Saccharomyces cerevisiae S288C: one gene and its partners. The gene in region 2 interacts genetically with the main gene of each other region. Each region holds a gene or a part of one and is shown on either strand. Other genes may lie near its edges.

Region 1 (3,755 bases), on a different chromosome or scaffold from region 2:
TATTCTGGATCATTCTTGGCTATTCTCTGCACTTTTTCTACAGGTAACTTGGGCGAACACAGAGGTGCAGACGCCGTTTCTTTACCACTAGTCTCGTTGTTCATTGTGTTAGCCTGATCACATCGAGCGAGCTATCCTGACGCTATTCTCTCTTGTTTCTTCTGTTTTGTTTCTCTTACATTTTTCATTTTTTTCTCTAGTTGGAAAAAAAAAAAAACACTATATTAGAATACGCACATTGTTAGCGCTGTTCTTTCAATTGTCATCTATATATTTACAAGGGAATACACAAAATCCTGGTTTTTTTAAGGTCTGGGAACCATGACATAGGAGGAGGGTTTCTTCGTCTTCTTTGGCAATGACGAAGAGTAGACCTCCTTCAAAAGTGCCTGCGTCCTTTCGTTTTCGAGTGCCTCATCATAGGGAAGGGACATTTCCTTGAGTAAGACCTGCTTGATGAGCATAATTTCACCATGTAGCTGCGCTTCTGCTTTAAACTTGGCCACTTTGTGAAGATTCTGCAATGTGAGTGGGTTATGAGGTAGCTGGTTGGCGTCATCGTTGATGACTGACTTGACTAACAGCCACATCTTTAAATTGCCCCTGTTCACCGTATGCGATTCGGACATCACGGGAGAGTCGACTAGTTCCAAGACGGATTGCGGCGCTGAGTCGTTAGCCCTAGGCTCTAACCGCAGCACACGCGTGTACCCACCGGGCCTTTCCAAGTACCGCGGTGCGATCTCGCTGAACAACCGCTTCATCAACTTTCTGTTGTCTCCTGCTAAAAACAATTGGCTCTGAATTTGGGACTTTAATTCCGCCTGTGCAACACTATTACTTGTCGTTATTGCCCTCTTTGTCCAGGTAATGATCCGCTCTGCGACCCTGGAAGCCTCTTTACATTTGGCATGCGTTGACACTATAGATTCATGCTGAAACAACTGGCACGCAAGGTTTTTTAGCAGCGCATCCCTATGCGCCTTGTCCCTAGAGAGTTTCCTAGCAATACCCACTGTCATTGTTGCGCTCGACTGTGCTTCTCACCGTTTTTTCTCCTTGGCGTAGCCAAATCTCTTGACCGTTATAAGCTGTTTTAGCTTGTCAAATCCCACTTGTTCTTGTTAACCAACTTTTCCCGCCTCGTACGCGGTGACAGACAAAGCAGTGATTTTTGCTCATTGTATAAAGGGAGTCTTTACTATGGTGGCATAAGCAACAATACTACGTGAGCAGCAACGAAAGCACATATATAGACGACAAAGTAGTATGGTTTTGAATCCGTCCAAGTACCAAGACACCCGCACGTGGAAGATGACGCCTGCCATGATCAGGGCCCGTAAACCCTTTTTCAAAGGCAATATGCTCGGTCTCACGCTGCTGCTGGGTGTCACGGGCTCTGTTTACTACTACACATATCATTTTCTGCACAAGGACAACGACTTTGCAGACGTGCCCATTCCACCCATCGATCCGCAGGAGCTCGAGGCTCTCAAAAAGGAGTACGAAGCCAAGAAGAAGGCATGAAAAGACCGTTAATGTGGAGGTACGCTGTGGTCTTCCATCAATAGGCTTTGCGCTGTTCTTCTCTCCTCTTTTGTAAATAGTTTACCTACTTGCGTATATGTATATATATATATATATAGATATGCTTATACGGATATATACATACATTCTGTTTGTTTATACTCTTTGTCCTACTCTAACAGCCAGCTCTTTAGTTTAAGAATATGATGAAAAACTCAGTTTGGGAAAAAAAAGGAAAATGTTAAAGTATAAACAATATCGAAATAAGTTCATCTACCACGCACACTTCACCAAGTTAGCAAGATGAACTTGAAGCAGTTCACGTGCCTATCATGCGCTCAATTACTCGCTATTCTGCTCTTTATCTTTGCTTTTTTCCCTAGAAAAATCGTGCTGACAGGTATATCAAAGCAAGATCCGGATCAAGACCGTGATCTCCAGCGCGATAGGCCCTTCCAGAAATTGGTGTTTGTGATCATTGATGCTCTCAGATCAGACTTTCTTTTTGATTCGCAGATTTCCCACTTCAACAACGTGCACCAATGGCTCAATACGGGCGAAGCATGGGGTTACACGTCATTTGCTAATCCGCCTACCGTGACGCTGCCTAGACTCAAAAGTATTACTACGGGATCTACACCTAGCTTCATTGACTTGCTGCTGAATGTAGCCCAGGACATAGATTCCAACGATCTTTCGGAGCACGATTCCTGGCTGCAGCAGTTCATCCAACATAATAACACGATTCGTTTCATGGGCGATGACACCTGGCTGAAACTGTTCCCACAGCAATGGTTTGACTTCGCTGACCCGACACACTCGTTCTTTGTCAGTGATTTCACTCAAGTCGATAATAATGTGACGAGGAACTTGCCCGGGAAATTATTTCAGGAATGGGCCCAGTGGGACGTGGCTATCCTGCATTACTTGGGTCTTGACCATATCGGGCATAAAGATGGCCCGCATTCAAAGTTTATGGCTGCTAAACATCAAGAAATGGACAGCATTCTGAAGTCAATATATGATGAAGTGTTGGAACATGAAGATGACGATGATACACTGATTTGTGTTCTTGGCGACCATGGAATGAACGAACTGGGCAACCATGGTGGCTCTTCAGCCGGCGAAACATCAGCAGGATTGTTGTTTTTGTCACCTAAGCTGGCGCAATTTGCTAGGCCAGAATCGCAAGTAAACTACACATTGCCCATCAACGCTAGTCCGGACTGGAATTTCCAGTATTTAGAGACTGTTCAACAAATTGATATCGTCCCCACCATAGCAGCACTGTTTGGTATGCCAATCCCCATGAACAGTGTTGGGATAATAATACCTGACTTTTTACAACTGTTGCCCAATAAGTTGGCAAGTATGAAAGAAAATTTTATGCATTTGTGGAAATTATCAGACCATCACGGCGAGGTTGCTCTTGACGATTTCACTGCCGAAGATATTTATACAAAGATGTACACTATTCAAGAAACGTTAACCAAGTCTGCAACAAATTATAATTATCCTCTTTTGACACTGGCTTTTGTTGGTTTCCTCATAATAACAATCATCGCCATTTATGTATTATTACGTTATTCTGGGCCTGATTTTTGGCAGTTGCGCGTTTCTTCCCTGTCTGTTCTGTTAGTTTCCATTATACTAGGCGTTTCCACATTTGCAAGTAGTTTCATTGAAGAGGAGCACCAACTGTGGTGGTGGATAGTAACTGCATTCTCGGCGGTCCCTCTGTTCGTATACCGATTGAATGTGCTCATAATCGTGCGCTGGTTTATAATGATGGCATGCGTACGCTCAATCAAGTTTTGGAATAACAGTGGCCAGAAATTCATTTATTCTAACGTTATGTCCAATCTACTTAATCAGAATCCTTCCTGGAAGTGGTGCTTAAATATGTTGACATTTCTAGTGCTGATAATGGCATCTGCTGGTTTTCAAGTACTACATTTTATTGTCACTACTATTTTGGTGGGGTTGTGTTTCACGTACAAAATCTCGTGGGAAATCGTCAATGGTAACCAGGCAGAAATACCGCTCTTTATGCATGATTTACTGGCTAAGATAGACTTTGCACCAACTGAAAGTAACTTGATTGTACTTGCGCGCGTTTTCTTCCAAGCTTGGGCTATTGTTGTCATTTCAAGGTTGGTCCTGACGAAATTGAAAGTACTTAACAAGAACTACCTCATTAAAGATATGAAAGTTTATATAACAATTCT
Region 2 (3,516 bases):
GGGAAAACTGAAAATATGAATTCAAGCTAACTGTATCTTTTTGGATAGGGAATTGATCTAACAAAGCATTGTTATTATTATTATTATTATTATTATTATTGTTATTATTACCATTATCTTGAGGAAATGTTGAAAGACTGTGGTAAAGATCAGGAACCATTTCACTCGGGTTGATATCTATGGCGTCCTGACACAGCTCTCTTAAGGAGTCTAAAACTTGGTTAAGGAAGTTGTTGGAACGTACCTGTATCTGACTGCCCTTATACTCTGAATCTTTCGTGAAGTTTGCCAAGATCGCCTGTTGCTCAAGAAGATTATCGTGTAGTAATTGTATGAGCGATTCCGTTCTATGCTCGCAAACGCAACTTTGCGAATGGGTCTCCAACCACCAAACAGGGACAAAGTTCTCACAGACCCGGCATAGTTCCATTTTTGGCAGAGGTAGATTGAACTCGTCTATTATCATTTCCAGTCGTATTCTCTTCAAGTACTGCACGAAGATCTTAGCGCCGAACCCAAGCGTCTTGGCGAACTCTTCGGGAAGTTGGATATCGATATCGTCGCAATTATCGGATAACTGGATGACCATGTCGTCTTGAGCGTCTTCGTTGGCATAAAAGTCTGACCAGTCGTTTGTGCGAGGCTTGACTATCCACATCGTGTGAGAGGGCAACTGTGTGTGGCCATCCCTGATTAAGATACCACGTGCTTCCAAGGTCGTTATCGTACTTTCATCGTCACAGCCTGCGCTACCTTCATAGTCGGCTGCCTTTATCTTGAACGTTATAGTGCAACTGGTGTCATCATTCATGAGCAGCATGTCTGTGGCCTTTTGAAAGACACCTTTATCTTGATCGGATCCGAGAATAAGGTCTGCAATGTACGTCGGAGAAGAGCCACTATCATCGGCGACTCCTGTGATCGTGTTCCACTGTGGAGAGCCATATCGCACCTTGCCGTCCAGTTCCAGCTCCAAGATCATACACGGATTCTTCTCTGTGGCCAGCTGCAGATATTTTTCATAATTGGAGGAAGTCAATGAGCTTGGGTTCGAATTCGATGATATCGGGGAGAGCTTGTTTATGCCAAGTCCCTCTTTCATAGCCTGAGATCCGCCTGCGGTGTTACTTCTATTGAACATCTGTCTTCCTCTACTGGGCTTATCTATTCTATCAAATGAGGCAAGAGAAAGGAAAGGGAAAAAAAAAAAGGGAAAATGCTTGATGAGTTAGGAATTCAGTAAAAGCACCCACCAGAACCTCTACAGCAGGCCTTCCAGGAGTGGTTAAGAGGATAGAGAATTCTGTATATATATATACGTCTATATCTATACAAAAAACGGCAGACAATGCAGAAGTTGAAAATGCTGTGATACGAACAACAACTTATTTTTACAATGAAAAACAACACCAAGCTGCCAAAAGCTGTATATTAAAGTTAAAGCTCCCTCATTTTTAGTAAGGACGCTTTCTTTTCCCACAAAAGGGACGAGGAAAAAAAGAAAAACCTGGAAATATAGTCACGTGACATGAATAAACAAGACCTAGGGCAATATGGAAAAAGAAGCTAGGATAAAAATACATTTATGAGGGTTGTAAGGCAAAGTGGCTCAGCATTAAGTAGGGCTAAAAAGAGTCGCAAATATACATCGTACCGAGTGATGAACGTGGTTTTGAACACCTTGTTCTCTTTTGTTCTCGCTCCCTACATTCACTATATATTAGAAGAAATTTCACCTCAATGGACAACTCGAGAAATGAATACAGAAATATGTTTTTTAGCGAAATTTTCCTTTCTTCTTGTCTTCTTGTTTTATTTAAACTTCCAAGGCTTTAACTCAGTGTCAAACATAACAACCTCCTCCTCCCCCACCTACGACAACAACCGCCACTATGGAAATGACTGATTTTGAACTAACTAGTAATTCGCAATCGAACTTGGCTATCCCTACCAACTTCAAGTCGACTCTGCCTCCAAGGAAAAGAGCCAAGACAAAAGAGGAAAAGGAACAGCGAAGGATCGAGCGTATTTTGAGAAACAGAAGAGCTGCTCACCAGAGCAGAGAGAAAAAAAGACTACATCTGCAGTATCTCGAGAGAAAATGTTCTCTTTTGGAAAATTTACTGAACAGCGTCAACCTTGAAAAACTGGCTGACCACGAAGACGCGTTGACTTGCAGCCACGACGCTTTTGTTGCTTCTCTTGACGAGTACAGGGATTTCCAGAGCACGAGGGGCGCTTCACTGGACACCAGGGCCAGTTCGCACTCGTCGTCTGATACGTTCACACCTTCACCTCTGAACTGTACAATGGAGCCTGCGACTTTGTCGCCCAAGAGTATGCGCGATTCCGCGTCGGACCAAGAGACTTCATGGGAGCTGCAGATGTTTAAGACGGAAAATGTACCAGAGTCGACGACGCTACCTGCCGTAGACAACAACAATTTGTTTGATGCGGTGGCCTCGCCGTTGGCAGACCCACTCTGCGACGATATAGCGGGAAACAGTCTACCCTTTGACAATTCAATTGATCTTGACAATTGGCGTAATCCAGCCGTGATTACGATGACCAGGAAACTACAGTGAACAAGAACACTAGCCCCAGCTTTTGCTTTCTGCTTTTTTTCTTTTTTTTTTTTTTTAGTCGTGGTTCTCTGATGGGGGAGGAGCCGGTTAAAGTACCTTCAAAAGCAGAATGCAGGGTTATTGGAAGCTTTCTTTTTTTCTTTTATGCTAGTTTTTCCTGAACAAATAGAGCCATTCTTTTCTTATTACTAAGAAATGGACGGCTTGCTTGTACTGTCCGAAGCGCAGTCAGGTTTGAATTCATTTGAATTGAATGATTTCTTCATCACTTCATGAAGACAATCGCAAGAGGGTATAATTTTTTTTTTCTCGTTATTATCGCTGTTGGTGGGTTTTTTCTTTTCATATATTTCTTTTTCGCTTAGTGGTTTCTACTGTTCTGTCTCCGGTTAGTGTGTGCTACTTCAACCGAAGAAGAAGAGGCTTTTCAAGAATGCAAACGTGAGGTTGGCGCGCCCTCCTACAATTATTTGTGGCGACTGGGCAGCGACACTGAACATAGCTCTTGAACAAGACCCTTTTTTGGCTGCAAGGAGCAAGACTGGCTGGGGTTCCACCTCAAAGAGCCACGCTCTGCTTTTTTTCTATCTGTTTGTGTCATATCTATCTGTCTATTTATCTATATATATATTTTTTTATATAAAACTATAAAGAATTCTTGATGTATGCCCTTAGGTTGGGCAGCTTTTCAACCTTAGACTTGATGCTAACGCCGCTCTGTTCCTTCTCCCGTGCTCCCGCAAGCGAACATCTCCCCCTAACTCCGGGCCAATGAGTGATAACTATATCAAATACCTTCGAAAGGACCTTAGTCATCATATCACTCTCACTCTCACGGCTCTCTGTAGTCCTCCTCGAGGAGTGGCCAAGAATGTTCTGTTCCGCAGTCTTTATATAATCGCACTGGTTGAAGACGAAAGCTCATATAATT
Region 3 (3,755 bases), on a different chromosome or scaffold from region 2:
TATCTTCCAGTTCATCAATCTTTTGTTTCTTTTCGATAAAGAATTCATCTGCCTCGTTGTACTTGGGCAGTGATGAAAACGATATACTCATAAATCCCTTGTGCGATTCCGCGTCGATACCCCCATTTTTTAAGACCTCGGCAGCATCCTCTGCACCTAGTAGTTGTATCTCACTTATCCGGACTTCTGACAGATCGTTGCTATCATTAATAGCGCCAGATCCAGTCAAAAATGCCCTTTTTTTAGACTCTGAACTAAAGTCATCACTTGTCAAAAAGAGTAGAAAATCTTTGTCCTTTTGTAGAACCGGATCTTGACATATTTTTTTTAACATGCTTTCCATTTGAAATCTTCTATTTTCAATGAAATTTTCCTTAAAACTGCCTACTGATTGCTTCTCTGGTGGTGGTGGTATTACTTTACCCCAATGGTTGTTCTGCAATTGACGATATAGCCACCTGAAATCTCTGTAACGCCTGCTTACCTGTGCATATTTTAGCTCAAGTAATGATGATTCACTGATTACAGTATACTCCACATGAATGGATGTTAGCTCTCCTACTTTGACCGGGTCTTTAACTTCAACTTTGAAAGCCACAGCCTTTTCGGTTGGTGGCACCTTTGAGCCAATCTTGGTTTTTCCAAACTTTTCTGAGTTTTCCTCGACCTCAGCAGGACTTGAAATATTAGCACCTGTCTGAGGAAGATTGTATAAAGGCCTGTCCACTTGCTCAAGGATATTTTTTTCAACAGAAGCTGTGAACTTGCCCTCATTGTTTTCTCTCCTTTCATTCCTATCGTCCAATGGCTCTTCAACAAATTCATTCTCTTTTTCAGCTTTCTTTAAGGGATCAGTAAAGGGTGTTTTGATGGTATCATCGGAAGCAGTTGTTCTCTTCGCTTTCAGAGAATGGTTGCGTTTGGAGTTTCTTTGAGCTCTGGCGGAATCAAACAGAATTCGTGGTTTGCCGGATCTTCTTCCAGAGATGCTTTTTGAAGTATTTGGTGAAGTGTTAGCATCGTATATCGTATCGTCAAAAACTAAGGGAGAGTTGGCGTTTCCAGTGAACAATGCGCCACCGGATTCTCTTGTTGCAATAAATTGTGTAGTGCTATTCTTGAGATCAGCAATCGGATCCTGTTCAGGGGCTAAAGAATTAATAAGATCGTCAGCTTTGGAATTGTCATGCTCCTCTAGTTGCGGATTACCAGCCACCGACAAACCAGGGTCTTTCCATTCTGGCGCACTATCCAAGTCTATCTTGTCCGCAAATGAAGCTGTGGTCTCTAAAAGCTCATTGTCTTTTCTTTCTTCATTTGTAGATATTTGACCAATTGATTCAATTGAATTTGAAACGAGGCTCTGAGTTTTATCTCCCTCATGATTTAGTTCGTCCCAAACAGGTGCTTCTAGATTATCCTCGTAGTCCATGGCTTGTTATTGCAGGATGTATGAAAGTTTATAAAATCCCTGCTGCAAATTAAGAGATATATGGTTTCGTTCACTACGTAGTTATAGTAAATAACCTTTGCTTAACCCATTTTTCAAAGCATTTTTAAAATTTACTGTTATCACTTAGTTGTTCTTAGCGGACAACTTCCGAAAAGTGAAATTTCATTTTTCAAAACGACAATAGTGGTATAGAATTATAGAATAACATACGTTAAAAATAGCTGAAGTTCATTACAGTTCTGTAGTGGTCAGCAAGGCATTTGACGTCTATTGGATAGCCTACGATGAAAGGTGATCGTTCGAGGCAAAATATGGCTGTGACAAAGAAGGCAAAGTTAAAAAAAAATGACGAGCCAAAAAAGGTTTTGAAGACTGCCGCGACCGAAAAAGGTGAGGGATCCAAGCGCTACTCCTTATGGAATTTCTGGATAAGCACATTGTTTTTAAAATTACTATTGATTCCTGACTACTTCAGTACAGATTTTGACGTTCATAGAAATTGGCTGGCAATCACCAATAAATTGCCCATCAGCGAATGGTATTATGAGCACACTAGTCAATGGACATTGGATTATCCGCCATTTTTTGCTTATTTTGAATGGTTTTTATCGCAATTTGTTCCTAAATCTGTACGTGATGACGGTTGTTTGGATATAGTGGAGATCGGAAAGTTCGGTTTGCCAACAATCGTTTTCCAACGACTCACTGTCATCTTCAGCGAAATTCTTCTATTTGTCATCCTTCAAATATACATTAATACTACAAAGCTAAGTGAAAGATCTCAAAGTTTTGTGGTTGCTTCTAGCATTGTACTATCACCCGGGTTTTTAATAATAGATCACATTCACTTCCAATATAATGGTTTTCTTTTTGCGATTCTAATAGGCTCCATTGTCGCCGCCAAGAATAAGAGATACATCTTGTGCGCTGTTCTGTATACTACAGCCATATGTTTCAAGCATATATTTTTATATTTGGCGCCATGTTATTTCGTGTTTTTATTGAGAGCATACGTTCTCAATGTCAACAATTTCAAGTTTAAAAGTTACAAAGATTTTTTGTTCCTGATAAGATGGGCAAATCTTTTGAAGTTGGCTACCGTTGTTGTTGGAATTTTCACTATTTGTTTCCTTCCATTTGCTCATCAAATGCCGCAAGTGTTGAGCAGGTTATTCCCATTCTCAAGAGGACTGACGCATGCATATTGGGCACCAAATTTCTGGGCGTTGTATTCTTTTATGGATAAAATACTCACTACGGTAATGTTGAAATTACCGTACGTCCACACTTTTGCTACAAAATTTATTAAACCTCCTCTGATCCCTCAGAATATCAAGGAAATTAATGAAAGGCTCGCGGCAAACAACAATGGAAGTAAAGGTCTAGTTCAAGACGTATTTTTTGTTATTCTCCCTCAAATTCCTCCAAAATTAACGTTTATTTTGACGATATTTTACCAGGTCTTAGCAGTACTTCCACTTTTGTTTGATCCATCGTTCAAAAGATTTGTTGGCTCGTTGACTCTCTGTGGGTTGGCATCGTTTTTGTTCGGGTGGCATGTGCATGAGAAAGCTATAATGCTAGTCATCATTCCGTTCACATTTCTTGTTGGATTTGATCGTCGTCTTTTGGTACCGTTTATGTTAGTTGCCTCAGCTGGTTATGTTTCCTTGTATCCTCTTCTGTACAAAGGCCAAGATTTTTTCATTAAAACATTATACACTTATGTTTGGTGTATAATTTATTTTGCCGCTTTTAGAAAAACTACGAAGATTTCTTCAAGTGTAGAAAGAAGAATCTTTTTCTTGGATAGGTTGGCATTAACGTACATCTTTTCATTGTTACCAATCGTCACCGTATTACAAATATTGGATGAAGTCAAGTGGAGATATTCATTTTTGCAAAAATTTGAATTCTTAGGATTAATGATATATAGTGTCTATTGTTCATTAGGTATAATCAGCTCGTGGTTTGCCTTATCGTGGTTATATAATTTTGACGAATTACTATGGCAGTGATACAATATCGCTTCCCTAGGACGTTAAAAAAAAAGTGATATAAAATTATTTATATATGAATCGATTTTAGAAATATTTATTGTACATTTTCACCTACTAACTAATTGAATAACGATTAGATTTCGATTTATGCAGTCCCTCACGCCAGTTCCTCATTATTTTTCGTTTACGTATTGTGCGTTTTACACTTGAATTAAAATAACATTACATTAAACTGAATGAAGGTCAACTCCATTCACATGCATCAGTTGAAAGGTATATAAGTACTACTTCAATATATTATC

What was found.
Region 1: mutations in HAC1 (region 2) and LAS21 together harm fitness more than expected from each alone (negative genetic interaction), as found in Saccharomyces cerevisiae (5 studies listed by BioGRID, with this or other methods).
Region 3: mutations in HAC1 (region 2) and ALG8 together harm fitness more than expected from each alone (negative genetic interaction), as found in Saccharomyces cerevisiae (5 studies listed by BioGRID, with this or other methods).

Annotation. Positions count from the first base shown.
Region 1 is NC_001142.9:315,454-319,208, forward strand, and holds the start of LAS21 (mannose-ethanolamine phosphotransferase LAS21), read left to right. Parts: upstream 1-1,830; coding exon 1,831-3,755. Other genes in the region: DLS1 (Dls1p), read right to left, coding at 1-104; mitochondrial 54S ribosomal protein bL17m MRPL8, read right to left, coding at 306-1,022; COA3 (Coa3p), read left to right, coding at 1,270-1,527. UniProt on the Saccharomyces cerevisiae protein: Ethanolamine phosphate transferase involved in glycosylphosphatidylinositol-anchor biosynthesis. Transfers ethanolamine phosphate to the GPI second mannose.
Region 2 is NC_001138.5:73,287-76,802, forward strand, and holds HAC1 (transcription factor HAC1), read left to right. Parts: upstream 1-1,892; coding exon 1,893-2,553; intron 2,554-2,805; coding exon 2,806-2,861; downstream 2,862-3,516. Other genes in the region: protein kinase RIM15, read right to left, coding at 1-1,141. UniProt on the Saccharomyces cerevisiae protein: Transcriptional activator involved in the unfolded protein response (UPR) pathway. Recognizes and binds to the UPR element (UPRE) in the promoter of UPR-regulated genes such as KAR2, PDI1, EUG1 and FKB2.
Region 3 is NC_001147.6:451,445-455,199, reverse strand, and holds ALG8 (dolichyl-P-Glc:Glc1Man(9)GlcNAc(2)-PP-dolichol alpha-1,3-glucosyltransferase), read left to right. Parts: upstream 1-1,737; coding exon 1,738-3,471; downstream 3,472-3,755. Other genes in the region: VAM10 (Vam10p), read left to right, coding at 987-1,331; VPS5 (sorting nexin 1), read right to left, coding at 1-1,432. UniProt on the Saccharomyces cerevisiae protein: Dolichyl pyrophosphate Glc1Man9GlcNAc2 alpha-1,3-glucosyltransferase that operates in the biosynthetic pathway of dolichol-linked oligosaccharides, the glycan precursors employed in protein asparagine (N)-glycosylation.